2 linked regions of the Drosophila melanogaster genome follow. The gene in region 2 interacts genetically with the main gene of each other region. Each region holds a gene or a part of one and is shown on either strand. Other genes may lie near its edges. The genes, in order: r and e(r).

Region 1 (16,146 bases), 7.7 Mb from region 2:
TCAATCAATCATTCACTCGCTCACTAACCGGCGGCTTTCTCTCGGTTTTGCAGTTACCAAGGTGACCTCTGATGGGGAGCCGCACGGCATGATGACCATGGTGGCCGGATTATCCGGCCTTTTGGCGGCCATCATCATTTTGGCCGTCCTCGTGTCCATGGTATCTTGTCGCAAGCAGAAGAGGTAACAGCATACATACATACATATGCTTAGCCAATTATATAGATAATTGCATATAATATTCTGATTTTTGTCGTTTAAAAAAATGCAGCACCAACCGGAAGAGCAATTCCTCCGCCAATGTGGTGGCCATGACCAGTGTGGCGCAGGATCAGCCCCAGTTGGCCGGTAACTTGAACGCAGCGTTCGCTGAGAGCACTCTGACCTTGGACAAGGTCAAGCAGGACACAGAGGATCAATGGCGACCCACAGCCGTGGTGGTGGAGCGGTACTAGTGGAAGCAGGAAGCACCAAGCACCACCGTCAACCAGCGGCACATGGGCACGTGATGTTTATTGTAAACGTTTGAGACTGACACTTAGAATAAGGATTTCCATCACCATCTTATAATTAATCTATATAACATATGACACCTTATTTTTTTTTTTTTGCTTGTTAAAATATTATACTGCTATACTATGAAATATGTGAAAATATATATTTGTTAGAATTAAAGGGAAAACCGTAAAACTGTTTCACATTTTCCAGAGAAAGATATGATTTTTGCATGTTTTGGATGCAGATACAAGTATTATATGTTCATCCATAAAGACACAAACAATTAACCGAAATGGATCAAATATATTCGTATGCAGCTGCGTACATGTGTGGTATAAAAAAGATAGTATACAAAAATAATAGTAGAGAGTCAAAGATTGTGGGTTTTCCATGGGTAAATCCTCTAGAGCGCCGTATTGCGTCCACCAACGACCATGGCCAGCAAGGCCATACGGATGTACATGCCGTACTCCGCCTGCCGGAAGTAGGCGGCCCTTGGGTCCGAGTCGATCTCCCGGCTGATCTCGTTCAGACGCGGCAGCGGATGCAGAACAATCGAACGCTTCTTGGCCCGCATCATATGCTCGGGCGTCAACACCAGATGGCCACAGCACTGTCGAAGGAAAGCAGTGGGAATGAGCAAGTAGTATAGCAAGTAAAATTGAGACCCTTTTTACCTTCTCGTAATCTTCCACGTTATCAAAACGCTCGCGCTGAATGCGAGTCATGTAGAGCACATCCGTGTCGGGCAGCACATTCTTTAGGTCGCGTGCAAATAACTGCTTGACGCCGCGCTGATGGACGAACTGGACGACCTCATCGGGCATCTGCAGGCTATTCGGCGCCACATACTGCAGGTTCACATTGTACAGGGTCAGCAGGCGGGCCAGCGAGTGCACGGTCCGTCCGTTCTTCAAGTCGCCCACCATGGTGATGGTCAGCCCGTTCACAGTGCCAAACTCCTCGCGGATGGTGAAGATGTCCAGCAGCGCCTGCGTGGGATGCTCACCGACGCCATCGCCGGCATTGATAAGCGGCTTTCGGGAGAAGGTCGCTGCGCGCTGTTGGAAATAAAAAAAATTAAGTAGATAATGGATTCAATGGCATATAGAACACGGTTCCACGGACTTCTACTCACCGCTACAGCTCCGGGCGATGGATGACGGAGCACCACGACGTCGGCATAGCTGGACACAACCTTGATGCTGTCCTCCAGGCTCTCGCCCTTCTTCACCGACGACGTGATGTTGTCCATGCTGATCACTCGCCCTCCCAAACGCAGCATGGCAGCTGCAAAGCTGCACTGCGTCCGCGTGCTGACCTCGTAAAACACACTGGCCATGATCTTGCCTGGCAGCAGCTCGTCCACCGGACGATCCTTCGTACCCCGCAGCTTGAGCAGCTGTGCCAGGTTAAAGATGTCGTTGAGGTGATCTTTGTTGAACATGTCAACGGCAAGGATGTGCTTGCCCATTAGCGAGTGGGCCACCGGATTTGAGTTGGTAGTGCGCTGCAAGTATTCCCGCAGCGTGGTGTTGCTGGCGGAATCCAGACGGATGCGTGGGGATGGCGAGTTGGGGCGCAGGAAGTTGGCTCCGTCCACAAAGTGCACCTTGGTCGATATTCCATGTACGCCTCCACCGGGTCCTTCGGAGGTGAGGAGGCGGGTAAAGGTGTCATTGGCATCGTTGTCGCTGGGCAGCAGATCCTGTGATGCCTCCGACGCCAATGGACTCTGTTTGGGGCGCACATTCTGCCCGAAGCCGGGCTGCACCAACACTTGGCCATCGACGAAGGCCACCTCGCCGCGAAGAACCACCCGGTGGACGCGTCCCTTGACCTTGGTGCCCTCAAATGGTGTCCAGCCGGACTTGCTCTTCATCTCATTGCCCGTTATGGTCCACTCCTCGTCGAGATCCACCTCCACGTAGGTCTGCGCCTGATCCGGCAGGTTGAAGATGATTTTTGGATTGCGATGGAACTTCCTCTTGATGTCCTCCATCGTCAAACGACCCTCGTGAACAGCCTGCAGGAGGAGCGGCAGAATGGTCTCCACGCCCGGAAATCCAGGCGGTGGACGCTCCGAACGTTTCTCGGCCAGTGTGTGTGGCGCGTGATCGGTGGCAAATACATCGATGTAATCAATATTCTCCCACAGAGCCTCTTGATCCTCCGGTGAGCAGAGCAATGGCCTTACCTCGGACATTCCGTGACCCAAACGCTCCACATCCTTGGTGCTGAGGAACAAGTGATGGGGGCACACCTCGCAGGTCACCTTGACGCCCTTTTCCTTGGCGGAACGAATCAATTGGATCTCCTCCTTTCGCGCCACATGGCAGATGTGAACCGAACGGTCGAGAAGATGGGCCAGCATAATCACAGCCGCTGTGCTCTGCCTCTCCGCATGACAAACGATGGGAGACCGCTTGGGCCAGTGGCTGAGATGCCTCTGCCAGCTGGTCATGTCGCTCAGTTTTAGGGTGCCGAAAGTGTCGTTTAAGTACATCTTAAGGCCACACGCATGACTGGCCAGCTCGTTGACCTGCGCCCAATTGTCATCCGAGGCCCCCACATACAGGGCATAGTCGCATCGAGCTCCCGCTTTGGCCAGCTCCTGGAACTGGGTGAACGTCTCTCTGTCCACGATCGAGGGATTTGTATTGGGCATGGCGCACACGAGGGTCACGCCGCCAGCCAGAGCGGCTGCTGTTCCACTGGCAAAGTCCTCCTTGTGCGTGGCTCCCGGCTCCCGCAAATGCACATGCACATCGATGAAGCCCGGCAGCTTCACAATTCTACGCGAGGTCATACAATCCGTGTGCGTCTTCATTGGCGGCTTGCCACCGTTCATTCGCATTGATTCTACCAGAAGCTTGGTGCACTTCACATCGGTCACCAGCGGAATGGAGTAGTCCACGGCCAGGCGACGGGTGCGGTAGCCATGGGTCATGAACGAGGAGACCCTGGAATAGTATCAGGAAATCACATTTACTTGGAGATACATATGTACATATAATCAAAAGGCACTGCCTTAAAACTAACAACTATTAATTCTTCAACTAATTGCTCTAATTTTAAAAATAAGAGAATAGCTTGCGTAAAAACACACGGATAAACTGACATACGGACATGACAAGATATACTTTTTAGGTTTGGAACTGTCTTCAATTTTATAAAAAACACTAAAAATATATCGTTCGGATATCAGTTTTACTCCACACAAACGAAAATTCTTTGCACTCAGTTATAAGTACTTTGCACTCCAATTGGACTTTAAAGAAAATATAAATAACATTTAAGATGTCTGAGCCAGATAAGAAATGGAATTAAGACAAGCCCTTTTTATAACTTAATAACTTAAATTATATGCCAAATTGTTGTGCAAACTGTGTTCAAGGCCCAAAAATTCCAGTGACTAACATTTGTTTGAATATTGAATCATTAAGTCGTTAATACCCCTGAAAACAGAACTTTTATCAAAGTAGGTTAGCTATATAAATATGCATATCCGCTACAAGAAATATGTTATATATGTTTTATAGGTAAACACAATTAGAAAACAAATACTATTCGCACTTGCAGACTTCTTCCTGAAGTTCCATGGATCACCAACTTAGTGGCATATATATTTGGGGGCCATTAAAAAGAGTCACCATCGAATCGTACTCACCGCCTGGCACCCCCGCCGCTCATCGGGAGGTTGATGACCAGGTCGAACTGCTTGTTGGCCAGGAACTCGGCCAGGTGTCTCAGCTCACCGTTGATGTCATCGGGAGTCGTCTTGTCGAATGTCCACTGCACGGATTCCACCTGCAAGGGCAAAAGCACACATATATACAATATTTACTCGTACATAGACATAGATCATATACAATGGTATATATATATATATATATATATAGAGAATGCGACCGACCGATCATCACCAAGGCCACATGTCATCGTCATCCGCGCCACCAACTCTACTTCCAATCAATTGTTTGCCCAGAGTACACCATATAGATACCATTATTTATGGATCTTTCATGTCTACATCGAAGACAATAGAGCAACAGGCCATGGCAATGGCACAGTGGTGCAGATATGTACGATCTTACACAATAATTCCAAATAAATCGAACTTTGAACATTTGATATGTGAATAGTGGTAATAAGATATATTCAATCGAACTAAGAGTGCAATCAGAAGAAAATCTTAAGTTACTATTTTAAGATAAGAATTCAATAGATCAATTTTTATATTATATTTCCTTTGAAGACCATCTATTTTAGACGCCTCCTTGAGTTTTTTGTCTGTTTGTGCGGCACAGTGAAGTGGAAATCAATTCCGTTTTCATGGAAGCACCAGGAACTGGCTGATAATGGATAATTGGGCCGAAGGAGGTGGTGGCCGGAAGAGTCGTTCAGCTCTTATCTTTCCGATTGCCATTACTAGATCGCAGATCGCAGGTAATTGGTAATTGGTGATTGGTGAACTCCGATCGCAGATTGTACACTTTATCAGCCGGAATTCAGTCACAAATCAGCGATCGTCCGTTGAGTATGGGCTGCTCCTGGTCGCGATCCGAGCAGGTGGATTCCAGTGCCACGCCCAATGCCCTGCAGGCGGGCATTCCCGCCCAGCGCCAACAGAGGAGGCGGCGCCAAGAGGAGAAGCATCTCCGCCAGCTGCAGAAGCTCCAAAAGCGTAACGCGCGTAAACGTCGCCGAAAGAAGGGCGCAGGATCTGGATCTGCCAGCGCCGGAGGATCTTTCCTCGGTCGTGGTGGATCGATTCACAGACGACACATCAACGGAAAAAGCCATCCTGATCTCGCCCTGCAACTGCGTCTACTGGGCGGCAGCAATGGAAGCACGGCCACCGAATGTGTCAGTGCCCTGTATGCCAGAACATTGGAGCAGCAGCGCGAGGAGTTCCAGCGGACCGTGGAGCAGAGGACCCTACACCAATTGGACCGCGAACTGCACACCTTCCTGCTGAACCAATTGCTTCTGGGTATCCAGTTCTTTGGGCACTTCGAGGCCGAGATGGCCGTGGTCGATGCCCAAATCGTGGCCAGGCGACGCAACTGCTCCGCCGAAAAGCTGGCCGAGCACAGCTTGCTCCAAAGTAGCGCCATCGATGCAGCTGTCGCCAGGAACCTGCTCTTCAAGCCGCCGTAAGTCTTTTCCTTATCCTCTCTCCATACTTTCTAGATTTTTCTATACTTTTTTGCCTACATTTTATGATCTTCTCTTTTTTCATTTTAAAATTGGTTTTTAATATATGTATTTATAACCGATTTCAGATCTTCGAAGAGTCCACCACAGCTGCTGCAGAAACCCGTGACCTATGTGGTCTTTGAGAACGTTGACGTGGCGCGACCCCACGATGCCAACTACGACACCGTGGCGGCACTGTGCAAGGTGCTCCTGGAGACGGACTACTACCGGACCACGCCCTGCCCCTCGGAGCTAGTCAACTTGATGGAGATGACCAGGTGGATGGGCTATGTTCGCCTCAAGCTGCGCGACCAATTGCCGCATCCGCAGGCGGGCACGCCCACTAGCTCCAGCTTATCTTTGCCGGCCAGCAGCGATGAGGAATGCATCTACGGTGATGTGGGATCCTCCGCATCCAACTCCCCATCCTCGGGCTACAGTTCGGGGGACTACGATTATGTCTACTTGGCCAGGTTGAATACTCCGCGACCGCTGGAGGAGCTGCGATTTGATCGCGATTTCAATTTCCAGAGGAATGTCCTACCTGGGAATTGCATTCGCCGTTTGGCCAATTGTCTGCCTCCTTGGCTAGAGCAAACCGACGACGAGGAGTCATCCTCCGCCGCCTCCAGCAGTGACGAGGACGAGAAGGATGAGGCGAATTCCGATAATCGCAAATATCCACCGGCTGGCTATGAAACGGTGGAGGTGCTTCGCCAGTGTCATGTGGAGCAACTGCAGCAGTGCTACCTCAGTTCGCAGCAGTTCATGTTGTACTTTGGAGAGGTGCTGCGTCATCATTTGGCTAACCAATTGGGCATCAGCCAATCGCAGCTGGCCGCGTGTTCGTATCGCGGCTGTAGTGTATATACCGCTCGCGAGGAGCTGGTGCCCGCCATTCATGTGCCCAATTCCTGGCCGGATTGCGCCTTCGAGTTTTGGCTGAGGGCTCGTCCTCGTTTGACCAACCTCCATACTGCCGAACAATTCCAATGGCCAACGGAGCAGATGAAAAAACGTATTCGATCCATGGGCTTCCATGTTGTACCAGTGGGCTATGCACCAAAGCGTTCGCGAAATCCCTTCAGGGAACTGGAATGGCGCATTGTCTTTCCCCAGGCGGAACAGTTTCTCGAGCGGCACTGCCTGACGCCCATGCAATTGAAGGTGTTCCAACTAATGAAGCTGCTGGTCAAAACCTTTGTGGACGAATCAACCACATCCTGTGACCAATCCCCGGGAGCTTTGCTCGAACAGCTGAGAGCCCATATGTTTTGGCAATGTGAGCAGCACAGCAATGATTGGCCAGAGGAGTTTCTGGGCGAGCGATTGGTTCGATTCATTCGCTCCTTCGACGCCTGTTTGGCCAAGAAACACCTGAGCGACTACTTCATTGAGCGGCGCAATCTATTCGAGCATATCCCAGAGGATACGCTGATGAAGCTGCGCAGCATAATGGCCGGAATTGCGGAACAACCGCTGCTGCATGTCATCCAGGCACTGAGGAATCTTCAGCACGCGCCGGAATTCTACCCGCAACTGGAGTACAAGCGACTGTTGGAGAATCTCTTTAGCCAGGATTACCTGGAGCTGCACGGACGGGGCAAGTTCTCGCGTCCACGTCAGGGATTTCCCGCTCTGCAGAACTGTGAAGAAAACAATGGCGGGCAGCAGGTGGAAACGAAAAAAAAAACCGAAAGGACGGAGATCACCGATGCCAAGGGACTCTTGGGATTGGCTCAGCACCAGGAGCGCTCGAGAGGAAAGCTGCGCAGGAAGACACAGCTCTTAAGGGCCACGACTCAGCAATTTCAAATCTCGGCGACGGAACAAAGACGTTGCTCGCTCGACTCCCTGGATCGCCAATTGCTATTGGCACGCTCCAATCCGGAAAGTTCCAAGAGCCAGGAAGCAGCGAAACCGCAACTGAACAACGGCTTGGAGATCCTGCGAAGGAGCAATCTGATCGAACTTCTGCTGGATCATTCGCTGGCCATGTTGGCTCGTGCCATTCGGTTTGGCAACCGTGGACATGCACAGCTTTATCTGGAGCATGGGCAAAGATTGTGCCGCCTTTATCAGCACCTCGGTTGCTCGCAGCAGGCACAGCACTTCGTCCAGGAACTACAGAACGCAGCCAGCGATATGGAACGCATGTGTGAATCGCATATACCAACGTCATCGGGCGGCAGTCCCTCCACGGTGGTTGAATCTCCGCCAGCGCCAAGGAAATCCATCAAGTTCCAGGAGCATGTCGTGCAGATACACACTCCAGAACCGCTGGCCATGCAGAAGCATATGCCCCATCTGGAAAACCATCAGCTCAATGGGATTCTAAGAGCTCACCACCAAGAGGATGCGAACGCCATTGAACCCCTACAGGAGGAGGAGATCAAGAGCGCGTTGCTTCGGGAAATAGAAAGTCGCATAGAAGAAAAACCCAATGTCCAAAGAGATAGAGAACCAATAGATTCTCCTGAAGTGGATAGCCTTAAGCCGCAAACGGGAATCAAATCAAAATCGGAGGAAACAGCCAAGGAGGAATCATTTCTCTCGCTAAACGGAATCCTTCAAAGGCTCTCCCTCGACACGGATAAGGTGCAAATGCTGGGCAGCAAAACGGAGCAACTGGTCCAAAGAGTAGCCCCATCCGAGGCCAAGCGGGATGAACTCAAGGAGATCCTCAAGCGCAACGCACAGAAGCTCAAGGGCGCATTCAACTAGAGACACTAAAGATAATACTACCATATAGTAGCCAAATTGCTAAATCCCGGCGATTAGTGATATATTGATATATTGATAACAGATAAACCAGTTGTGATAAGGGCGGTTAGAGATAGAGATAGAAATATATATATAGTTATGGGCCATAATTATTGTCCATACCATGTGCGCCATATATATTTTCGTAATTAGTAATCTTGAAATCAACGTAATTTCTCTATGATAATAATGTTATTGAATTTGTAAACCAATGTCATGGAAAATAAATAATGCAATATAAACAACCGTTCAATTTGTAAACCAAGTCAGGGAAAACAAATAGTAGGAAATGAGTATTGAAACTACTCAACTTTGTTGACTCGCATCTCCAATGGATTTTGATTAAAGTTGCATGATATACAATAAGCACACAGACATAAATATACTCACATTAACTCCGTGTTCGGCATAAAAGTCGCCAGTGCCCATGGAAGCGTATAGCTTGTAACCCATCTTGGCCAGATCCCGTATGGAAGGCAGCAGCTCCATCTTGTGCTGCAGATGAATGGAGTTATTAATGGAGTAACTAATATCAATAATCAATGGAGTGGCCAACAAACCTTGAAACTGCCAATGGAGAGAAGTACGGCGTTCTTGGGTATCTGGAAGCCCGTGGACATCATGGCCTTGAGATACGCCTCATAGCGGTTGTCCCCGAAGCAGGCAACCTCACCGGTGGAGGCCATCTCGACGCCCAGCTGTACATCCGCGCCCGCGAGCCGCGAGAAACTGAACTGTGGCACCTTGACGCCCACCTTGCCGACGCCATGGAGCACATCCAGTGGCTCCACATCGAGTCCCACAATCGCACGCGTCGCCGTGGCCACAAAGTCGTGGTCCAGCGTCTTGGAGACGAAGGGGAAGGATCGCGACACACGGACATTGCATTCGATGACCTTCAGCTCGTTGTTCTTGGCAATTAGCTGCATGTTGAAGGGACCGGTGACATCCAGTACGCTGGCCAAATCGCATGTGATCCGTTTAATGGCCTCCAGGGTCTCCGCATTCAGATCCTGCGGTGGGGTAACCAGCGTGGCATCACCTGAATGCACTCCGGCATTCTCCACGTGCTCCGAAACAGCCATGCACAGGATGCGTCCATCGGATGCCACTGCATCCACATCGATCTCCTTGGCCTCGGTGAGGAACTTCGAAATGACAACCGGATGCTCGCGACTCACCTCGGAGGCGGCGTTCAGATATGTCTCCAGATCCTGATTGGAATAGGCCACATTCATGGCCGCACCGGAGAGCACATAGGATGGCCTAACCAGACAGGGATAGCCAACCTCCTCGCAAAATTCGATGGCCGACTGTAGGTTGGTCAGCTCCTTCCAGCGTGGCTGCAAGATACCCTTCCTGTCCAGCATGCGCGAGAATTTAAATCGATTTTCGGCACAGTCGATGGACTCCGGCGATGTGCCCAACACCTTCGCCTGCTGGCGATGCAGATCCATGGCTATATTGTTGGGCAGCTGGCCGCCCATGGACAGAATGATGCCCTCGCTATTCTCCATCTCGTAGATGTCCATGACCACCTCGAAGCTAATCTCCTCGAAATACAAGCGATCGCACATATCGTAGTCGGTGGAAACCGTTTCAGGATTGTAGTTAATCATGATGGTGGGTCGCTGTAGCTTCCTCAATTCGCGCAGGCAGCCCACGGCACACCAATCAAACTCCACTGAGGATCCGATACGATAGACGCCCGAGCCCACCACAATAGTGTGTCCGCCGGGGAAGTCCACATCGTGCTCGCTTCCGTTATATGTGTGGTACAGATAGTTGGTACTGGCGGGCCATTCGCCGGCCACCGTGTCGATCTGCTTGACATGCGGGCGGATGCCAAACTCCTGCCGCTGGTGACGAACAGCCAGCTCCGTGCTCTTAATGTACTTAGCTATCTGCTTGTCCGAAAAACCAAAACGCTTGGCCTTCAACAGCAGAGCGGCATCGGTTCGACTGCCATTACGGGTGAGCAGGGACTGCAGTAAGATGATCCTTTCCAGCTTTTCCAGAAACCAATAATCGATATTGGTTAGTTGATGCAGCTCCCTAAGGCTCATGCCCAATTGCAAAGCAGCGGCAATGACGAAGGGACGACGATCCGTCGGCTCCGAAAGCTGCTCGGCCAGCTGCTCCTTGTTAAGCGGAACCACATCCGGATCAAAGCCAAGCACATCGCTGTCCACCATGCGCAGGGCTTTTTGGAACGCTTCCTCGAAGTTGCGACCGATGGCCATCACCTCACCGACACTTTTCATCGAGCTGCCAATGTGCTTGCTAACCCGCACGAATTTGGCCAAATCCCAGCGTGGAATCTTGACCACACAGTAATCGAGGGATGGCTCAAAGCAGGCCGTCGTATTGCCCGTCACCGAGTTCTTGATATCTGGCAGGGGCAATCCCAAAGCCAACTTGGCGGCCACATAGGCCAGTGGATAGCCGGTGGCCTTGCTGGCCAACGCGGAGCTGCGCGACAGTCGGGCGTTCACCTCGATAATGTAGTACTGCTCCGAATGGGGACACAAGGCGTACTGAATGTTGCACTCGCCAACGACACCAAAGTGACGGATAACCTTCAGGGCGGTGCTGCGGAGCATTTGGTACTCGCGATCCGAGAGGGTCTGCGATGGGGCCACCACAATACTCTCGCCCGTGTGGATGCCCAGGGGATCGAAGTTCTCCATGTTGCATACGGTAATGCAGTTGTTGTAGGCATCGCGCACCACCTCGTACTCCACCTCCTTCCAACCCTTCAGGGATTTGTCCACAATTAGTTGGCTCGAGTGGGCCAGTGCCTGTTGGGCCAGGCTCTGCAGCTCCTCCTCGTTGTTGGCGAACCCGGAACCCAGTCCGCCCAGGGAGAAGGCAGCACGGGCCATCACCGGATAACCCAAGCGACTGGCCGCATCCAGTGCCTGGGCAACGGAGTACACAGCCTCAGATGGCGCCACCTGCTCGCCAATCTCGTTGACCCGCTCGGCAAAGAGCTTGCGATCCTCCGTCTCGATGATCGACTGGATGGGTGTGCCCAAAATGCGGACATTGTATTTGGAGAAAACTCCGGCTCGCTCCAGTTGCACGCCACAATTGAGAGCGGTCTGGCCGCCAAAGGTGAGCAGTACTCCGTTCGGACGCTCCGACTTAATCACCTGCTCAACATAGTGAGGTGTTAGGGGAAGGAAGTAGCACTTGTCGGCCATTCCCTTAGAGGTCTGAACGGTGGCTATGTTCGGATTGATGAGCACTGTTTGAATGTTTGATTCCCTCATGGCCTTGATGGCCTGCGATCCGGAGTAGTCAAACTCGCCAGCCTGACCAATGGACAGTCCACCGGATCCCAGGATTAGGACTTTGCGCGGCATCACTGGAGCCGAATCTATGGCAGGCGTAGTCGGACGCAGTCGCTGCTCGATCAGCTGCGGAATGGTCAAATCCTTCTGTTGAATGCTCTCCATAAAGACATCGAACAGGAACTCCGTGTCCTGCGGTCCAGCATGATGCTCCGGATGGAACTGAACCGAAAAGTAGGGCTTGCTGGCATGGACAATGCCCTCGTTGGTGCCGTCGTTGGCATTCACAAATAGCTCCGACCAGCCGTCGGGCAACTGCTCCAAATCGACCGCGTATCCGTGATTCTGCGACGTCATCAGGCAACGTCCAGTTGCTCGGTGCAGGCAGGGCAGATTGTGTCCTCGATTGCCGTACTTCATTTTGTAAGTAGAGCAGCCGATTGCCTTCGCTAACAGCTGGTGACCCAGACATATTCCAAAGACGGGCTTTTGACCCTCCTCAATCACTTTTCTCACCTAGAAACAAAAGATTAGTTAAATTAGCATTATATTCTATCCAAATGATTCAATTGTGACCCACCTGTTGGACGATCTGGTCGCAGCTCTCCGGATTACCAGGTCCGTTAGACAGAAAGAGGGCGTCGAACTGCTCATCCTCGAGACGAGCGCTCCAGGGGAGCAAGGTCACCGAGGCGCCACGTTGCAGCAGGCAGCGCAACTGGTTGAGCTTCAGTCCACAGTCCAGAATGGCGATCCGTGGTCCCTTGCCATTGGGATTACCGTACACTTGTCGCTCCTTAACGCTGCACTCCTTGGCCAAATTCCTGACGTTCGGATCTACGAAACTGGACTTGGGCAGCCCTTCGACCGGCGGTTTCTCGTAGACAATCTTGCCTAGCATGCTTCCCTGCTCCCTCAGTTTTTTGGTCAGGGCTCGAGTATCAATGTCTTGAATTCCGGGCACCTTGTGCTGCTTCAGCCAATCGGGCAGCGTCTTCCATTTGCGCCAGTGAAATGCCTCTTCAGCCACCTCGCCCACCACCAAGGCGGTGGCCTGGACGACGCCTTTCATCCACTCGAAGTGCAGCGGCAGTCCGTGCTCGTCCTCATCCGGCGCTGGTACCCCATAGTTACCGATCAGTGGATAGGTAAGCACCAGGATCTGACCACTGTACGATCGATCCGTGAGCGCCTCCGTGTAGCCAACCATGCCCGTTTGGAAGACCACCTCGCCACCAAAACCCACTTTGGATTCATTCTCCGAGGGAACGTAGCCAAAGGAGTACCCGGGCAACACTGTGCCATCCTCCAGTGCGAGGTAACAGTCCGTAGAGGCCATATTGGACGAGTTGCTGGGGAGGATTGGAAACCATAGGGTATTCTTTAGTACCTGTCACTCGAAAACCGTCTTAAATAAACGAGCAAAGTTAATTAATTAAAAGATCATATCTCTACGAAGGCAAGTAGACACAATATTGAGTCGAAAATCTGATAACAATATTCGGCGACTCTGGGAACTTTACTTAATGAGTATATGCTATGACTATGCTATATGTTTACGCAGAGCGCGTGCATACCCTCGATTTTAAATGTAATGTAATATAATTCCACAGGTTATCTTGTTCAAAAAACACATGTGTTTATAAACACACCGTCACACGCACACAGTTTGCCGGCCCAAGAAAATATACAAAGAATCCAATAGGAAGCCGCGATAGATGAATGTATGCATGTATTTAACTGTCTGGCAACATGTTGAGCGGGGCACAACACGGTTCTGATTGGGAATGGACACTGCTTATCAAGCGTTTCAAGTTCCTGTTGTCATTTGATATTGCCATTCACGGTTTGTTTACACGATGACTAGCGGCGGAGAAGAAAGAGGAAGAGCGAGTGTGAGAGGGTGCGTTTTGTGTGTGCGTAAGCACGTGTGAGAAGTTTGGATCCAATTGGAAACCGGTTCGGTCAGCAAATGAGAATAACAATAACATTGACTTTAACTTTGAATTGGACTTTGGGCAGGAATTGAGGATTAACCAACTGAGAATCCTTAAGCTACGATGCATTAGTATCGCCATCAAGTTATCCTTTTCCCATCTGCACCCGTTACAACTACAGCTCACTTACGATTCCGTGTACTTTCAAGCGAAGCTCTCTCTTTGCTGCACTTGTAGTTGTGAACACGTTTTGGTTTCGACTTTAATTCGATTGACAACTTGATTTGTTTACTTTGCGACACCGCTTTTAGAGCTGGTTAACTTCGCACTGCTCGGATATGTTTAGTTTGAGCATTTAACTGTGTTTGCTTGCAAATTGGCTCCAATTAACGTCTGGAAAATCAAAGTCGAACAACTGAATTCACCGCCTTGGTTGAATCGGAATCTTCGTGCATTATGTGCTAAAAAATGCCACAGCAAGAGCTTAGCTCGGCGGTGTGGAACTTTACTAGAAGTAATATTGCAGGTTGGGAACTTGGCAAGAACGTTATATATTCATTTATTGTTATGAATAAGATAAGATATTTGTAATAATATTAGCAAACATGTTTAAATGGGGTGTTCTGCAAAGTATTCCAAAGGAAATAAATAATCCACAATTAAATGGTTAGTCACAAATTTGAAATCACAACAGTGTAGTCACACACACACCTATCGATACATTTTTCTTACGTTACGATATACTGCCCGTCCCGTCGTGAGTGAGGACATAAACCAAAGCGGCGTTGCTTTTTCATTCGATTCCTTAAAGTAAAGTAAACATCAAAACATCAAGCATAAGCAAGTCAGCATTTAACAAGCGAACGTCCTGCGAGAGCAACAGACTGAAAGCGCACTGATTGATAAGATTAACGCCATTGCAACCGTTCATAATGCATTCGGCTGGACTACTGATGCTAACCGTGGCTGGATATTTCACATCGGGTATTCCTGGCAATACGGCTTCCTCGGACGTCGCCTACCTGACGCCGGGCACATACATCAATTTGTCGGAGAACATCTTGGGACTGCAGACTCTGCGCACGTTCTGCTATCCGGGTAAACGGCTGACGGTGTCAAGTCTCTTCGAGACTGTGGAGTTCGTCCTGGCCATCGGGAGCGATGATTATTCCCAGTACGGTGGGAAGACGCCGGAGGAGGTGTTGCAGCACTACAAGGACAAGCAATCGCTGTTCAGCATCACCCTGTTCGCGCAGAAGCGCCAGCTGCTGCAGCTCTCGCCCTTCGAGCAGCAGTGCATCGGGATTTCCTCCCGCCAGGCGTACACCGTCATTCTGAATAGCATTCCGCTGGATCTGTGGCGTCTCGCACAGTTCGCCGTCGGCATACTGATCCTCTTCAGCGCCCGGCGGCTAGCAAAGAACAGTGTGTTCTACTATCTGGTCGGCATTGTCATCGGCATATGCGCCTCCCTGCTGGTGGTCATCTATTTGGCCGCCAAACTCTTTCCGCGACGTACCATGATGTATGGCGTCCTAATTGGCGGCTGGACCATTGGCTTCTATGTGATCAAACAGCTGGCGGACAATCTGCGTTTGATTCTGATCACCTACCGCGACCATGTGCTGGGCTATCTGGTGATCACCGGACTGATCTCGTTCCTGGTGCGTAGTCACTTGATATTCCCTTTTGATTAGATAACCCCAGCTAATTGCCTCGATTATTCTACAGATCTGCTATCGCATTGGTCCGCCCAAGAATCCTCGATCGCAAACCATCGTCATGTGGGTGCTGCAGGCCATTGGCGCCGTTATGGCTTACTTCAGCAGCTGGCACACCAGCGCCGTGATCTTCATCATGGTGCTGGTCTTTGTGGCCCACTACTTCCCCATTTCGTGGACGAACCAGATCAAGTTCATGTATCGCCGCCGTTTTCCGCTAAAGAGGCGCATGCTCACCCAGGAGGAGTACGAACAGCAGACGGCCGTGGAGACCTCGAAATCGCTGGCGGACCTGCGCAAGTACGTCAACAGTCCGGAGTGCAAGCAGTGGGCGGTGATGGGCAAACTGCGTGATCCTTTGCGCTTCGCCTCGTTCGCCAATGGAGCACCGCATCTGGACGACGAAGAGATCGAGGACCACTCGCGCACCATCGAGGAGTCCATGGATGCGGCGCCCGAGGAGGAATCAGTGGAGGAACCTGAGGAGGATAAACCAGCGGAGTTACTGCCGCTGCCCAACTCGCAGTTCCGCTATCAACAGGCCGCCCGCAACTCGGAGCCGGAGCCGGAGTCGGAGTCCGATGACAGCGAGGAGGAGGAGTTCTTCGAGCAGGAGGTGGACCTTCGGCAAGTAGTACAATAACGGACGAACAGCTCAACCACAAGGGGAACCACTGATTAGGCTTAATTGAAACCATTGACCACCACGTTCTATGCTGTACCGTTCTG
Region 2 (15,619 bases):
TTTTTCCAACGCTCAACTTTTGCCGGTGTGTGCAAGTATGCGTGTGTGTGTGTGTGTGAAAGAGAGCCGCGTGCCTGTGTGTGTGTGTGTGGGCTTGTTGCGCTTTTATCTTATGTCTTGGAATTTCGTAGTTTTATTTTGGTTTCCACTTACATTTCGTTTCTTATCCAATTGCCGCGTGTTTTTCGTGAGCTTTCTTTGTTTTCCTGTTGCTTCGCAAACGAAAGGAAAAATCAAATAAACGCAAAAAAAAGAGCCAAAACGAAAAACAAAAGGAGATGGAACCTTAATCGATACTATCGCGTGGAAGGTTGCCGCTTCGCAAATGATCGATCTGGCAGCGCCGTGTAAATCTTCAAGCCAGGCGTTGCCACTGTTTGCATAAATTCAAAAGCCGATTTATAATTAAATTTGAAAAAACCTTTCATTCCTTTTTCTTTGTGTAGATTTATATTAATATATAAAAAAACAAATTATTTAAAAATAATAATTCTGGAAAACAAAAAAGTGCTCTTTATGATTTATTTTAAAGTTATTACAAAAAAATTAAAAAGTTACCCCAATAATAGAATCAAGTGAAAACTCCAAAGCAAATTGTTTAAATTTAATTGTAATTGCTTAATTCTACTCCACTTCGTTGCCACCTCCTATTTGCTATTTGACCCACAAAGACGACCAACTAAATTTAGAAAAGAAACAATTTATTCAGCTTAATCCAATAGTAAACAGAAAATAAAGACGTCGGCATTTCATGCCGCTAATTTTGTACTCGCTCGGAGGTCAATCGAAATAAAAAAAAAAGAAAAACAAAAAAAAAAACCATGAGTTTTAGTCTTTTTTTTTACGTTTCGATCAGGAAACTAATTACCCATCCTTGGATTTCAAATCGATAGAGAAAAACTTGTACAGGTATTCGAAATTATAAAGATAACTAATCAATCGAATCGAATCACAACCAAAGCTCGAAATTTTCTACATAACTTATTCAAAATTGTTACTACCAATGCGATGATGGAAAATCTTATTTTATAAAATAGAAATTACAGATTGTGTTCATCATAGTTACTTGTGGATAACTATAAAGATTCAGGCCATAAGAACTCCCCACTTGGATTTGTATCCATATAAATGATAGATCCGATGATGATTTGTGGAGATTAGCCGTTGGAGCTGCGAAAGCTTAAGAAATCTTAGGATTAATTGTTATTCTCGATGGCGGCCATCCGTTCGCGCTCCTTGAGCAACCGCTCCCGACTGTCCTGCGGATTGAGCAGCACCTTGACCAGATGCTCCACCGTCGGCCGCTCGGCGGTGCAGTAAACCTTTTGGCCCAGCGATTCGAGGGCACGCCTAGTGCTCGGCCCGATGGCCACCAGCTTCCATTTGTCCATCGATAGCTGACGGCTGGTGAAGTACTGCTGTGCACAATTGACGCCCGATGGCGAGAAGAAGGCAAGAAATTCAATCGACTCGCCATAAATCTCCAATGCCCTCTCCACATTGGCGCCCAATTCGGGATGACAGCGCGTCTCGTACACTTCGCACGCATCCACGGAGAAGCCATTCTCGGCCAGCTTGGATAGCAGCGTATCGGTGGCCAGATTACCGCATGGCAATAGTAGCGGCAATGCACGCGATCCATCGAACGTATCCACTATATAGTCGCCCAATGCCCGGGCATTGCCCGTCTGTTTGCCGTGGGTGAATAGCTGGTCCAAGGTGCTTAGCGCCAGATTGTGGGTCACCTCGCCGACGGCATAGTTATGCAACATCTTCCAACCGCCGGGTAGCTCGCCGAGATTGAGGGATTCAGCCACGGCCTCCACGCAGCGCGGCGATGTGAATATGATGCCGGCATATTTATCCGGATTCTGAAGCTTGGCGCGCAGCTCATCGAGATTCTTGAAGCCGAAACTCAGCGTGGGCACAAAGACGGGATTGAAATCGTGCTTCTCCAGCGTTTCTGCGTACACATCGCTGCTTTCCGATTCCGATTTGAATATGATCACAGTTCGCTGGCGACTCGTCATCTTGCTGCTGGCTCACGTTTCTCACTTTGATCGGACGCAAACTGTGTGCTGAATTTTCCTTTGTCGAGTTTTCCGCCAGCGCTTACTTGCCCCGCCCACTGTTGCCGCCTTTGCTGCGCCTTCTATTGCGAAAATAAAAATATATAAATAAGAGTCGAATTTTGTGCACCAGCAGCCTCGTGCTGTCTCCCTCTAATCAGCTGTTGTGCCGGCTGTCCGCAGGGCTGCCAGATCGTCGAGCTAACGGCATTACTGTTTATATATTTTAAATTTATGCTTTTGTTTTGAAGTTAAAGGATTTAATTTGCTATATTTACTTAATTTTTGTTTTTTTATTTCTGCTCATTATATGCCGTTTTTATAATCAGCTGTTTTTTGGCGACTACCCAAGGGTGGCCACACTGTTGTGATTTTTAAAATATTTCATTTGATTGTTACAATTTTACAATTGTACATTCGCATTATTATAAACCAGCTTTGGAAACTGTAAGATTATCAGTAAGAATATCTTCTCACACATATAAATACAACTTAATCATGAGTATGTAAATTTAACTTATTCATGGGTATTTTCTCACATTCGTTATCAGATATTTTTCCAATGAATCAAGAGTTTTTACGTATTTCGAGCAGAATACATCGGAATTCTTTAGAACTATTTCAGATTTGATCGATGCGACAACGCAGAGTAAAATAATAATAATTTTTCACTAAAAAAATTTATTATTTTTAAGTTTTTCTTCAGTGTGTGCTTAAAATGATGAAGCTTTCATATTTTGTGTTATTGATCGTCCTGGTTTTGCGAGGATCCTTGGGCAAGCCACTGCATAAAAAAGAAACCTGTCTAGCCAATCAGCTTTCTATGATTGATTTAATGAGTGAAATCAATTCCAAATTGGACAGAATCTTATCGATTTCACACAAAGAAACGGATTTATCCAGCCAGCAAATGAAATTGCACAGCAAAAAAAATGCCCAACAGGAAGCGTTTCGCAATAGAACGCAATCCCGTTTTCAAATATCCAGCAACAAAATCGAAAGTCTGTTAGAAATGTATTCCAGTACTACAGTGGAGCCTCTGCCACAGAAGTTTGCGTTAATTGGCAAGCGATCATTCTATATAGAAAATAATGTGGAAATTTCCTGGGCTGATGCGGCAGCTGCATGTCGCGAATTCGGCGGTTTTTTGGCAGCTTTTAAGAACGAAGAGGAACTTAAGACCATTCAGGCAAGATTGAAGTTCTGGTGGTACTGGACGGGTATAAATGATTTGAAAACCAAGAAGTTCGTATCCCTGGCTTCTGGAAAGCAATCAACGATATTCCAAAGACATAGTTATAAAACCAATCACAGCAAATCCTGCGTTGCGGTGGATCCCCAATATATGTCCGAATTTAATTGTGATACCAAATTGTATTTCATTTGCCAGATGGATGAAGACACGTAATACATTACTGCTAATAAAGAACTTGCTCTAATTTTATAAGCTATTAACACACAAAAGTGCGTTTTTTTTTTCTTTCTCAATATAAATTGGGAATTGGAATATAAGAAATTTGAATTCATTGCCATCTGGCCACGCTGGCGATTGCAACTGTCATCGGTGCTATCGATAATGCCAACCGGCGGCACACGGCTATCGATAGCGCAATATTGTGTGTTGAATTTGCACGTGTTTCAAAGTAAGTTGGTTGTTTTTTATCATTGAAGGCATTTCGTTAATAACAAAACGGCGCCATGCAGCACGACGATGTGAGTAGCAGGTGTATGAATATGCACATTTGTTGGTGTCCTAATCAGATTATTATCAATTTGCCAGGTGGTCTGGAGCATCATCAACAAGTCCTTCTGTTCGCACAAAGTGAAGTGAGTTGAAATGCAGTTAATTATAATTATGTAGAAAATTTATGTATTCAATGGCAATCTAAATCACACAGAACCGACACACGCACCTTCTGCCGCCATGAGTACAATCTCACGGGTCTGTGCACACGCAGAACGTGTCCGCTGGCCAATTCACAATATGCCACCGTTCGCGAGGAGAAGGGCATCATCTATTTGTTCATCAAGACGGCGGAGAGAGCGCATATGCCGAGCAAATTGTGGGAGAGGATCAAGTTGTCCAGAAACTTCGAGAAGGCCATCGAACAGATCAACGAGAATTTGGTTTTCTGGCCCAAATACATGATCGCCAAGAATAAGCAGCGTTTCCTCAAGATCACCCAATATCTGATACGAATGCGTCGTCTGAAGTTGCGCCGCCAGAAGCTCATTGTGCCGCTATCGACGAAGATCGAACGGCGGGAGGCGCGGCGCGAGGAGAAGGCCTTGGTGGCCGCCAAGATCGACAATCACATCGAGAAGGCGCTGATGGATCGTCTGAAGAATGGCACCTATCGCGACATCTACAACTTTTCGCAGACCGCTTTCAACAAGGCTCTGGAGGCGGAACGCGTGGACGAGGATGATGAGGAGGAGCTAGACGACGAAGACGAGAATGAGGAGCAGCTGGAGCGCGAAATGGAGGTGGACGGCGACGATTCACGCGAAGCTGAGGAAGTACAGAGATCCCTGCTCGACGAGGAGTTCGTCGAGGCAGATACGGACGATGAGGAGGAGGATGATGATGATGATGATGATGATGACGAGGACGACTACGACAGCGATTCCGGCAAGCGGGAAGAGGTCGAGGTGGGCAGCGATTTCGAGGAGTCCGACGAGGATGACGATGCGGATGCAGATGATATTGAGGTAGTGTTTCTGGTCATGTATCAGGCTTTTCTTTTTTATTTTGTTGGCAGTTTTCTGGAGCATTTAACGATTTCCAAATCCTTTTTCAATGAATTTCTTTTAATATTGAAAATTCTGAGTATGTAAATAGTTGGCAATTGCTTAAATCCTGCCACCTTCTTCCGAAATTACCATAATTAGAAATAGCAAACGAGTTCTGCCCGCTTGGAGCTTGGAGAATAAAGCTTTCCGAGCGCCGTTCGCCGCTTTTCATTCAGTTGCGTCGGTTTCCATTCAGTGCGCGCTAACTAACAGCTCCAGAAAATTGCCAAAAAAAAGAAAACTAAAACGAAACAAAACTAAATTCCAATTGCCAAACCGAACTTAAAACGAACAATTGCATTCTAACAGGAGACCAAAGTGCCAGCCAAGAAAACCGCCAGCAAAGCGAAGAAGGACAAGAAATCGCCGGCGGGCAACAGTCGACGCAGCCGCTCGAAGCCCAAACTGCAGCTGGAGTACGAGTATGAGGTGGAGAAGGAGGCACAGCGGCAGATGCGCCATTAGCCAGGTCCACAATATATATTTCTCCCCCCCCCCCATGCTCAATCCACTTAGCTGTTAACGCTTATTGTTTAGCCGGTTAAGAATAGTATTTTACATAAAAAAGAAAGAAAAAAAAACAAAACTAGACAAGTGCAACACTATATGACCGAAAAATGCATCTCATGCAGGATGCACTTCATCTGCATCCCATTCGCTTTGCTTTCTGGCCAAAAAGCGAGGCTGGCTAACTGACATTGAAAGTGGGCGGTGCGGGGCGGTGTGGCGACAATGCAGTGTTTAAAACCAGTTTTGAAAAATATTCTAAAAAAAAAAACTATGCACCATATTCGACGCAGCTGTAGCGCTATTGCATACCCTGTAAAAAGCGCGGAGTTGCGTGGCAAGCAAACTACTTTAAATAGGAGAAATTCTTTTTTTTTTTTTTTTGAAAATATATATACATATTTTTGTAATAAACTGTACAGTTTGCTGTAGCAAATGCTTTTTTCACAAACAAATATATTTGTCTGAATAATGAGAAATCTAGTGATCATTAATATTCAGCAAATATAATGGGTAAACTATAAACACTATGTTTATTGCTAGTTAACGCTAGTAAGCAGCATCCACAAGTCGACACTAAATGTGCATATATACATATATATATATATATATATATATATTTAACAAAATGCTGTCGCGGAGCTAATTAAATATCGCACGCCAAGTTCAATGCAGTGCGGCCAAGCGATTCAGCGGCGGTCCAAGTTCGTTATCCGATTGAATATCTGGCGGGGGTACAACCCACAAACCCCTACCCCTCCCCCCTCACCACACACACAACAACCAGCATCTCAAGGTCATTTCGCATCTGCGACCAAAGGTTCTGTTTTGCTTAAAACAAGCCGTTAAAACGCCACAAAGCCCATCGGTGTGCAAAATCAGCGGGCTAAAAGTTGTTGTTTAACTAAGTTCAAATGATAAAGGGGGGGGGGGGGAATCAGTAGTTTACAAATATGTTTATATATGCTCAGTGTGTCCTGATGTGTTAGTTTATTATTCGATAGATTGCAAAGACTTAAGCTAGCACACACGGCAAAACATACAAAAAAAAAATGCACACTTGCAAATTTGCCATTCGGTTTTACAAACAAACAAACATACAGTTCGCTATCGATAAGAACAACCGTCACCTGTGGCTGCCGCACAAAAAAACATTGAAACACACAAAAACACACACAGTTGTCAGTTGGGTGTATATACAGTATATATATATATATACGCCTATATATATATTTATATATATATATATATATTAGTACGTTTAAAGTAAGTTTTCCATTTCTAAGTTATACAGTTTATCGTTCTCTTTGTGTTCCTTTTCCTTTTTTGCATTGCGTTATGTTGCAAAAAAAAGTTGCTGTCATTTGGCGATCTAGTCGGTAGCAGCAAGTCTCCAATGGAATCGATGCCCCACCACTCCATCATCATCTTCTTCTTCTTCCTCATCTTGTTGGTGTTATTGGTGTTATGGTGTTGTGGCCGTTGCGGATGCTGTTCCAAGCGCTGTTGCATGTATCCTCGTATTGTTGTTGTTGTTGTAGTTGCTATTGCACGCATTGTTGCATACATCAACGTGTTGTTGTCGTTAGTGTTGCACGCATTGATGCATGCATCATCGTGTTATTTGGTTTTATATGTATGTATCTTGTCGCATCGCCGTCCCTTTAGGTATTGGAACTAAATGCCGCCTGACGGAGCAGCACATAGATCTTCTCCTTGATCCAATCCTTATTGTAGGGCGCATAGGTATTGGTGCTCTTCTGGTAAACCATGCAGCTAATGTCCACCATTGTGTCGATGAAATCGAATAGCTGGCTAATGTCATACGTAATGGTCGGAGTGTTTGGATTGCGGCGCTTCAGGTGCTCCTCGTAGATCTTGCACACGCCCTCCATGCACTCGTTGACGCTCTCGTAGTCACAGTAAGTGCGGGTCTCCGGACGAGCACCCGGCTGTACCAATAGGATGGTGTGCGACATGGTGATCTGCAAGGCAAAAATGGAACATTAATGTTATTGGCGGTGATCTATGTACTCAAGCGATATGTATGTATGTATGTTACTAGTGTGCGTTTCATTACATTACGTTTCATCTTCATCACTTACATCCTTTTTTTTAACAAGCGTTTTTTCTATAGCAAAGTCCGAAAGATTCCGAGACTCTCGAAGTTGAAGTTTACTTCGCCAGCTCTGCAAAAATTGTGCATAAATATTTATTAGAAGCATAGAGAGCTGTCAGCAAAAAAAAAAAAGACAAAAAAAAAAGGAAAAGAACAAAAACGAAAGAGATGGAAGAGATATGCTGTTGCCGCATGCAACGCATCGCCCCATCTCGCTCGCGCTCTCGCCGCAACACCAATACACGCGCACCACACATGCTGGCCAGCAGAACGCTCTTTGATTTTCCAATTTGCAACTGGGAAATAGACTAAGATGGCACTTCCAGCATGGAAAACGAGTAATTTGTGTGTGAAGCGAATGTTGGCAATGGAGAAATGCGTACATTTGTACAAGATAATGCACGCTTATGCCGCTTCACTAAAACACAAACATTCGGAAGCGCGAACAGACACGCACACACATGTACAAGGAGTAACGGCCGCCGCGTGTGTGTAACTAACTGTATGCAATCACTTGTTTTTCTTCCTTTTCACCGATTTTTCTCGAATTTTAAATAATTCCCATGTCTCCCGTTTAGTGTTCAACTTACCCGTTCGAACGCCGGACTATATGGACTATGATAATATGCTGATTCAGTAAAGAGATTCGGTAAAATCAGCGCTTGATTCGTTTTTTTTTATTTTGCCAGTTCTATGGGTTTTGAAGAGGAGGCTGAAGCTAGAGATGAGCGCTTCGCTGCGTGCCTCGCCGTGACAAAATAATCGAAAGATATCGATTAATACTAACATCTTTTATTTGATATACATTGTTTAATAATATTTACCAAATTAAATGACAATTGTGATTTTTTATACTTAATTGTATCAATGTATACTTGCATTTCAATTTGTATATGTATTTGATTCCATATTATGTTCATTCACTTTTTTATTGAAAAGCACACTTTATGTATATTACGCCTTTAGGTATAAAGCATGTTTTTCAATGCATATTTTCATTTCATTTGGCGTAATTCATTCCATATTTAGTCTTCAGATTTTTTAAATAAAATTAACTAAAGCTTTTAACATATACTCATCATAGTAATACATTACAATAACTACGGAAATTATTTATTTATTATTTTTATTTTATATATTTATAAAAAAATTATAATTATAATGTCAAATTAAAGTGGATTGCATTATTTATTTAGGTTCATTTTATTTTGTTATTACATATAAATATTAGGTATTACGTTTATTTAAGTTAGAATAAAATTAACGCCCATCAACAAATTATGGTCATTAAAGTCTTTATGAAGTAAACTTAATGTACAATCATTTTCACTTAAAGTGCATATTAAAAAGCATATTTTTACATTTTTTAGTATTGTATTTAATATAAAGTCAAAAGTTACTTTTAATGAAACAAAACTATCGCCCATCGCCAGCTCCGCAGTCTGGCCACTGTTCTCACTGTTCCCAGTGCTGCCAGACAGCGGCAATCGAAGATCCGAGTGCCCACCAGCTGTTTGATCTCAATTGGACCAATTGGAAGAGCGCGGTGTCGCGGGCAGCGCAGTCGAGCGGCGGCAGAGCGATCGGCAAAGAAATCAACAACAAAAAGCAAAATCTCGTCTCAACATTATTTACGTGCTTTTTGTTTTAGTGAAAAGTGAAGGCGCAGCCGCAGCAGCCCGTGTTTCGCGCGTTCCCATTAATTTGTTGTTATTTTCAATTGTGCAAGTGGCGTTCGTGTCTCTCTTTTTTTTTTTTTGTTTTTTCCTGTGTGTTTGTGTGCGTCCTAATTGAAAGAAAATGAAGTGAAAAGAAGCAAACAAATTGGGAAATAGCAACGTAAACAAATCAAATAATGAATGAAGTAGAAGAGCAGCGAAGTTAAATGAAACCCAGGCAGTAAATTGAAAAGCAAAAAAGCCCTGCGAAAATAAGATGATAAAGGCTGTGAAACGGGGAAACCCGTTAAAGTAGCACCGAAAAGGCAATAGTCAAATAAGAAAACACAAAATCCAACCAACGCGACGCACGCGTGTCCAATTTGTCGCCTCTGCTTCGTCTCTCTGCTTCCTCTTCACTGTTCTGCGCACACCGTTGCACGATCATTCATGTGTGGGTGTTGTATCTGTGTTTCTTGTGCATTCTATTTGATTTGTGTTGTTGCTCATCTCTTATCGCTGAAATCTCGAAATCTCAATGTTCTCGGCGACCAATGGCAAAATCAAGGTAAAAAAAAAAACGTCCACTTAATAGTTTTCTTAACTTACCAAATGGTGTCTTGGCTACAGAGAAACTTATGCTTTGAGTTGAAACTGAAATATGTACAATATTACTGTTTCCGTTAGTTTTATTTTAAAATTGATAAGCCATTCTATATTTCTCCTGACTGCGCATTGTTTAAATATTATACTAATTATCGTATCGTATCAATATCTTATCTGATGTTTGCACGAGATTTGTTGCGGTGTATTTGATTTAATATAAAACTATATCAGTAAATGTTTGATATACGTTAAAATACAACAAATATTGTACATTTTTTACAGTTACCTCCGGAAGATGCTGTGCTGGTGACGTCACCGTTGCGCTGCCTCTTCAACGGCCCCTTTCGCGATCTCCACTTCAACGTCACCGATCACCGCATTATTCCCGTCCACGATGTCGTTTTCCTCGACGATTTCGAACGCAACGTGAAGCCTTTGATTTACCGCCCCGTGACGTCAGAGGTCGCTGCCTCTGCCAACGTCGATGAGGAGGCAACGCCGGCAGAGGAGGAGCAGCGCAGCTTCATTCCAATCAGCAGGTGAGTCACATCCAACAAGTGCGACAGAGATGGCAATCAATCGATCGTGGCCTTGAACTTGATTCCATTTCGTTAGTCCCCAATTCCAATTGGAAGTGAGAGAGAGAGTGGAAGCAGAAAAGGCAGGAGAGCAAACCAATTAGAATTTCCAAATGGAGATATCAAGTTTTTGTAAATGGAGAAATCGACTTTATTTCAATTTTGTGCATTCAAACTGTGATTTTTATTTTAATTTTAATCATTTAGTTACAATTAATCACAATTAGGTTACAATTATCGCATCTAAGCATCTGTAATAATTTGTCTTGTTTAACGCTCGTTTTTGAAAAGTGTTTGCTTTACGGCGCCGATAAGTAAAGAACATTCTCAACTGATAAGAACGTGGGCGCCCCTGATGTGTTTGAAACATCATCGTTTTTATCGTCAAAAGTGTGCAAAAGCTGTGTATCTATTATAAACGACTTTGTAGGCGTATTGTTATTTGTTTTAAGGTGCGTCGCTAATTTCCCACTACCCGGATGAGAAATATAAATTTTTTAACAACCAGATAGTTTCATATTTATAATGACAGTTAAACAGCACTCATGTTTTAAACAATCATTCTTAAATCTGTATATCTGTACAATTCCATTGGTTTAATTGCTTTTAATATGGAATGTCATACCTCGTTGAGCTCGTAATTAAATTTCCAATTAAACTGTGTTCAAAAATTGGAATTTTAATTTTTTCAATTTTTTTCCAAATTTTGATGATGTTACCCCTTACAAAAAATGCGAAAATTTCTTAAAAAATTAATTTTTTCAAATACGTCAAAAAGTGATAGGGCTGTTTGGCATTGGTAATTAGCTGCCCAAAACAGTTATTCTTTCAGCTTTATGATCATTTTTAGCCAAGTTATGATTAAAATGCCAATCAAAAATATTTCAATTTTTGACAAAACCCGTTTTTACTATTTTTTGTCATAAAATATCTATTTTTTTGGCCACAACTTGAAAAATATTTGTCTGATTATGGAATGCCATACATCGCTGAGTTTGTATTTAAATTTTTAATCGAACTGTATTCAAAAGTTGGAAATGTAAATTTTTTCAATTTTTTTCATTTTTTATGATGTTACCCCTTACAAAAAATGCGAAATTTTGGTCAAAAATTAATTTTACAAAGTCCGTAAAAAACGGATATGGATAGTTAGTATTGTCAATTAGGAGTAAAAAACGGTAGTTCTTTTGGCTCTCTGCCAATTTTAAGCCAAGTTATACAGAAAAAACCAATCGTAAATATGAATTTTGGCCAAAAATTGTTTTCCCTATTTTTTGTGTAAAAAATAATCAGTATTTTGAGCACTCGAAATAATGAAATGAAACTTAAACTTGTTTTTTAAATGCCAAACGATTTGGTTTTAAATTTGGTAATTTTGTTTAAATTTTGTGCTCTTTTTGCAAGTTTTGTTACACAAAAAAATCCAAAAAAATTTGTATTCTTACAAACCAGCCAGGTTGAACAGAACAAGGAGTATCTGTTAGTCTACAGAGTTCTAGTTCTGTTGTTTTTTTTTTGCTGCTACGTTTTACGACTGTTTTTTTTTCTTGCTCGTTTTTTGGTTTCTCCACATTTGGCGTAATTGTTTCGCATTTCTACTGGGCTATGATTATTGTTTTATTTTGTCGTGCTACCGCATTTGGCTGTTATCGTGGATTTGTATTTATGCGTTATTTATTCTGCATTACGAATTTGCCGCCTCGAAAAAAAACTCGTCGACTTGGTCGTTGCCTTTTGGCCCAACATAAAAAAAAAACTTTATAACGAAACGGGCATTCAACTGATAGGAATCAGTGTACATTAAAGTTTTAAAGTTTTTTTTAGTGCGAAAATGTTGGGTTTTTTTTTAAAGGTTTAGAGCATTTAGCAATAGGTTTTTGAGAGTTTTTTTTCTGCGAACTACAAATTGCTAACTGACAGATAAATAGAGTTAATATTCTAGTTATTAATAAGGTAATAATATACGTTAAAGAACACATGTATTTATACCATTCATTTTAAAGAGCATCACAAATTCGTTGCCATTGAGATTGAATTTGATTTTCTCGTTTCTTCCGCTTGGTTTTTTTTTTGGCCAATTGTTTTCTGGTTTCTTTGGTCGCCGATTTTTATTGTGTGCCATTGAAGGTTGTCTGAGTTGACACCTTTTTTTTGGTTTTTTTTTTATATACGTATGTACAATACATAAATATTTCGTATTTTTCCTTTTATTTTTTAATTGCCGCTGTTTTCGTCACAGTTGCCGGCAAAAGTATCACGCCCTTGGCAATGACCGTCGTCCACATGCTCCGCGAAAAGCAATTCATCAGCAAACACACGTTTCTGGTTTTTGTTTGTTTGTTTTATTTCTATTTTTTGCTTACTCAATTTTCAAATTATCGTTAGTGCAACGACTTCAATTAAGGTGCACTTAAATAATTGCCAGCTTTGACCCCTGTTTTTATTTTTTTATTTTTTCTTTTATTGCAACTTTTGTGAAAGTGAAAGATTTATTGCAAGTCGAGAAACAGAATTTTAGGTCTTTTTTTTTTAATGCACTGCAAGTTGAGCTAATCAGAGACTTAATTATTCGCCTGGCACTTTGTCTTGCTGGCAGATTTATATATATAAAAAAAATTAGTATGATATTGTGAAATTTATTATTTCGATAGCTTTTAAAACTGCATGTATTTACAAACAATGAAGATATACATATTTGTTCCACTTAAATGAATTATAATAATTTGATAATTTGTGTAAAAAATGTTTACGCCCGGGTTTTAAAACAAAATGTTTTGCGTCGCATATGCAAAAAAAAAAAAAAAAAAACAAAAACCTTTACGTATTTTTCGCTTTGTTTATTTTACAACATTATTAAAAACAAATGTTCGGATAAATGCATAAAAAATGTTTTGGATTGGGAAACAATTCCACAGGCTGCGCGGCATTGAAATGGCTCATTAAATCGCGCTCGTTGCGAGCTTAGCTCATTTAAAATATTGTTTCGTTTTTGTTTTTTTTTTTTATTTTATGGTTTTATGAGCTGTGTGAAAAACAAAATGGGAAAGATGGCACAAAAACGGCGCATTTGGGGGGGCATTTTGCGGAAACGCAGCCAAGCAGCTAAGCCAATAATTGTTAACTTATAATTTTTTATAGGATACAAAACGAGTTAGCTTTGAAAATCAATAAAATAACAACGTTGAAAAGCCAATAGCCAGCAATAAGCAATCACAGCATCGAATGGCCAAATCACAGGCAATAGTTTTAATCACAATTTAGGTAATACGAGCACTTGATTACCTCAATTGAGTAAGGCGTTTCCCGTCGACGTGGCAAATTCAACACTGACCACCAATGCCCCAACCCCCCCTCCTTACCATTCGATTTACCAAAAGGTGAGCAGCACGTGCGAATGGCTTCCTTCCTATCGTCACAATGTCGCCCCCGAAAATCGCTGACCCATTTCAGCATTATTTGCTGCTCTGCGAAGGCACAAATGTGGATAGAACAAATGTTCTTGGAGTGACCGTCGCAGTGGTACCGTGTTAGTTTCCACTTGAAAGAGCTAGCCGGTTTTACGTTCAGTTTTTAACAAGGTGAAAATTAATTAAGGTGAAATTAATATAAGCAATAATATTTAAATACCAATGAATGTTACTCCTATTCCTTTTGTGGCATACTTGTAGGCATATTAAATACAATGAATTACTTTTCTGCTGCATACTTTTACGCACTTATTTAAAAGATATGCAATTACTAGAGTGCTCTACTTCACTTCTTTTGTTATCGTGTTTGGTAGTTCTTAAGAATATTTCTTCACCCTGTGATGTTAAGATACAATCACTTTCATATTAAAAATATATATATATATATTAGAGGGCATTGGGATTGATGCGCCACTTTGCGTCGCTTCGATTCCGCACAAACCCTAATTGAATTAGCCATTTGGAGACGTGGCCAGCACCACTGGCTAAGGTCTCGCGATGTGAAGCCCCATCGAGTCTTTCGACTTCTGTGCCAATTGCCAATCGCTGAGAAAGCAGCGCGCTTTCATCGCCAATTGCAGTTTCGAGTGCGTTCGGTGCAAGTCTAACTCTTGGTTGGCCAAACAAATCTACAATAAAATTATATTTCGTGTGTGTGACAAAAAATCGAATTAACCGTACAGAGCAGCAGGTATCTCTTTGTTTTTTGCAAGTGATTTGTATTGAAATTGAAAGCCGACAAAAAAAAAAAATAGAAGAAAAAACAAATCGTTGAAATGCCGGAGCGCAGCATCAGTCAGCGGGATCTCGACGAGATTGAGATCGAGAGCGACGAGGAGGAGGAGGAACTGGAGCAGGGCGTGGGTCTGTCCACCCGGAGTCGCCGTAATCGACGCGGTGCCTCCGATTCCCCGGCCGCATCGCGTGCTCGCAATGCCACCAATGGCATTCAAAATCGCGGAAGAGAGCGGGAGCGGGAGCGGGAAAGGGAAAGGAGTAGGGAGCGTTTTGGTGGCACCAATGCCGCCGACGAAGCTCGCTTCTATGACGATGAGGAGCAGCGAATGGAGGACGATGGCGAGGAGGACAGCGACGAGGATATCGAAATGCTGGATTAGTGAGTACTGCGCATTGGTGGGGTTTGCACTCATAATTCGATTAGTTGTTGCCTTTAGTTTTTTTGGTTTTTTGGGGGGCTTCTTTCCTGGAATTATGTGCTACTCGTATGGGCAAATGGCAAATGGGAAATGGGAAATGGAAAATGCATGAATCTACAACGTAATTGGATTTGCGGCATAGTGAAATCACGCATTGTGTTTGCTGCTCCACCAACTAATGGTGTTTACAAAATGCAAGGAGATGGAGTAACATGGTAACATGTTAGGTCATCATTAGCAAAGGCAAAATAGTTGGGAAATTAAAAAGAAAAAATACAAAACATGGCACATTATAATTGGCAGAAATTTATATACAATATTTGCACATTCTTGTAATGCAAACATCCATGTGAAGTTGTTCAGCCTAATTAAAGTATCAATTGTACTTATTAGCACTTTTTGCTTGCATTCAATTCACTATATATATATATATTAAATATTCAATATATATTTGTCAAACTTTGGCAACAGTCCTTAAATGCACATTAGGTATTTTATTGCTTAATATCATAACCTGTTGGCCCTGCACTCTGACCTTTAACCCACTTTTCCCACAGCAGACAAGACACTTCGGTTTAATAGGCCAAAAAAAGAAAAAAAGAAAAAAGAAAGGCCTTTTATTATTTCATAGCCTACAAAACGGGGCTGGCAAATTGAAATGTTTC

What was found.
Region 1: of e(r) (region 2) and r, changing one enhances a phenotype caused by changing the other (phenotypic enhancement), as found in Drosophila melanogaster (3 studies listed by BioGRID).

The regions. Positions count from the first base shown.
Region 1 is NC_004354.4:16,653,350-16,669,495, reverse strand, and holds r (rudimentary), read right to left. Parts: upstream 14,138-16,146; 5' UTR 13,887-14,137; intron 13,406-13,886; exon of another isoform or gene 13,337-13,405; intron 13,112-13,336; 5' UTR 13,099-13,111; coding exon 12,340-13,098; intron 12,276-12,339; coding exon 9,024-12,275; intron 8,959-9,023; coding exon 8,854-8,958; intron 8,599-8,853; exon of another isoform or gene 8,425-8,598; coding exon of another isoform or gene 5,787-8,424; intron 5,658-5,786; coding exon of another isoform or gene 5,041-5,657; intron 4,309-5,040; coding exon 4,169-4,308; intron 3,462-4,168; coding exon 1,637-3,461; intron 1,560-1,636; coding exon 1,176-1,559; intron 1,112-1,175; coding exon 902-1,111; 3' UTR 784-901; downstream 1-783. Other genes in the region: CG13012 (uncharacterized protein), read left to right, coding at 54-183, 272-455; CG15865 (uncharacterized protein), read left to right, coding at 5,041-5,657, 5,787-8,424; Nemp (nuclear envelope integral membrane protein), read left to right, coding at 14,629-15,360, 15,428-16,060. UniProt on the Drosophila melanogaster protein: Multifunctional protein that encodes the first 3 enzymatic activities of the de novo pyrimidine pathway: carbamoylphosphate synthetase (CPSase; EC 6.3.5.5), aspartate transcarbamylase (ATCase; EC 2.1.3.2) and dihydroorotase (DHOase; EC 3.5.2.3).
Region 2 is NC_004354.4:8,898,031-8,913,649, forward strand, and holds e(r) (enhancer of rudimentary), read right to left. Parts: upstream 8,219-15,619; 5' UTR 8,079-8,218; intron 7,961-8,078; exon of another isoform or gene 7,739-7,960; intron 7,559-7,738; exon of another isoform or gene 7,475-7,558; intron 7,355-7,474; 5' UTR 7,349-7,354; coding exon 7,034-7,348; 3' UTR 6,114-7,033; downstream 1-6,113. Other genes in the region: Uros1 (uroporphyrinogen III synthase 1), read right to left, coding at 1,197-2,030; Rbm13 (RNA-binding motif protein 13), read left to right, coding at 3,768-3,782, 3,850-3,896, 3,968-4,781, 5,172-5,327.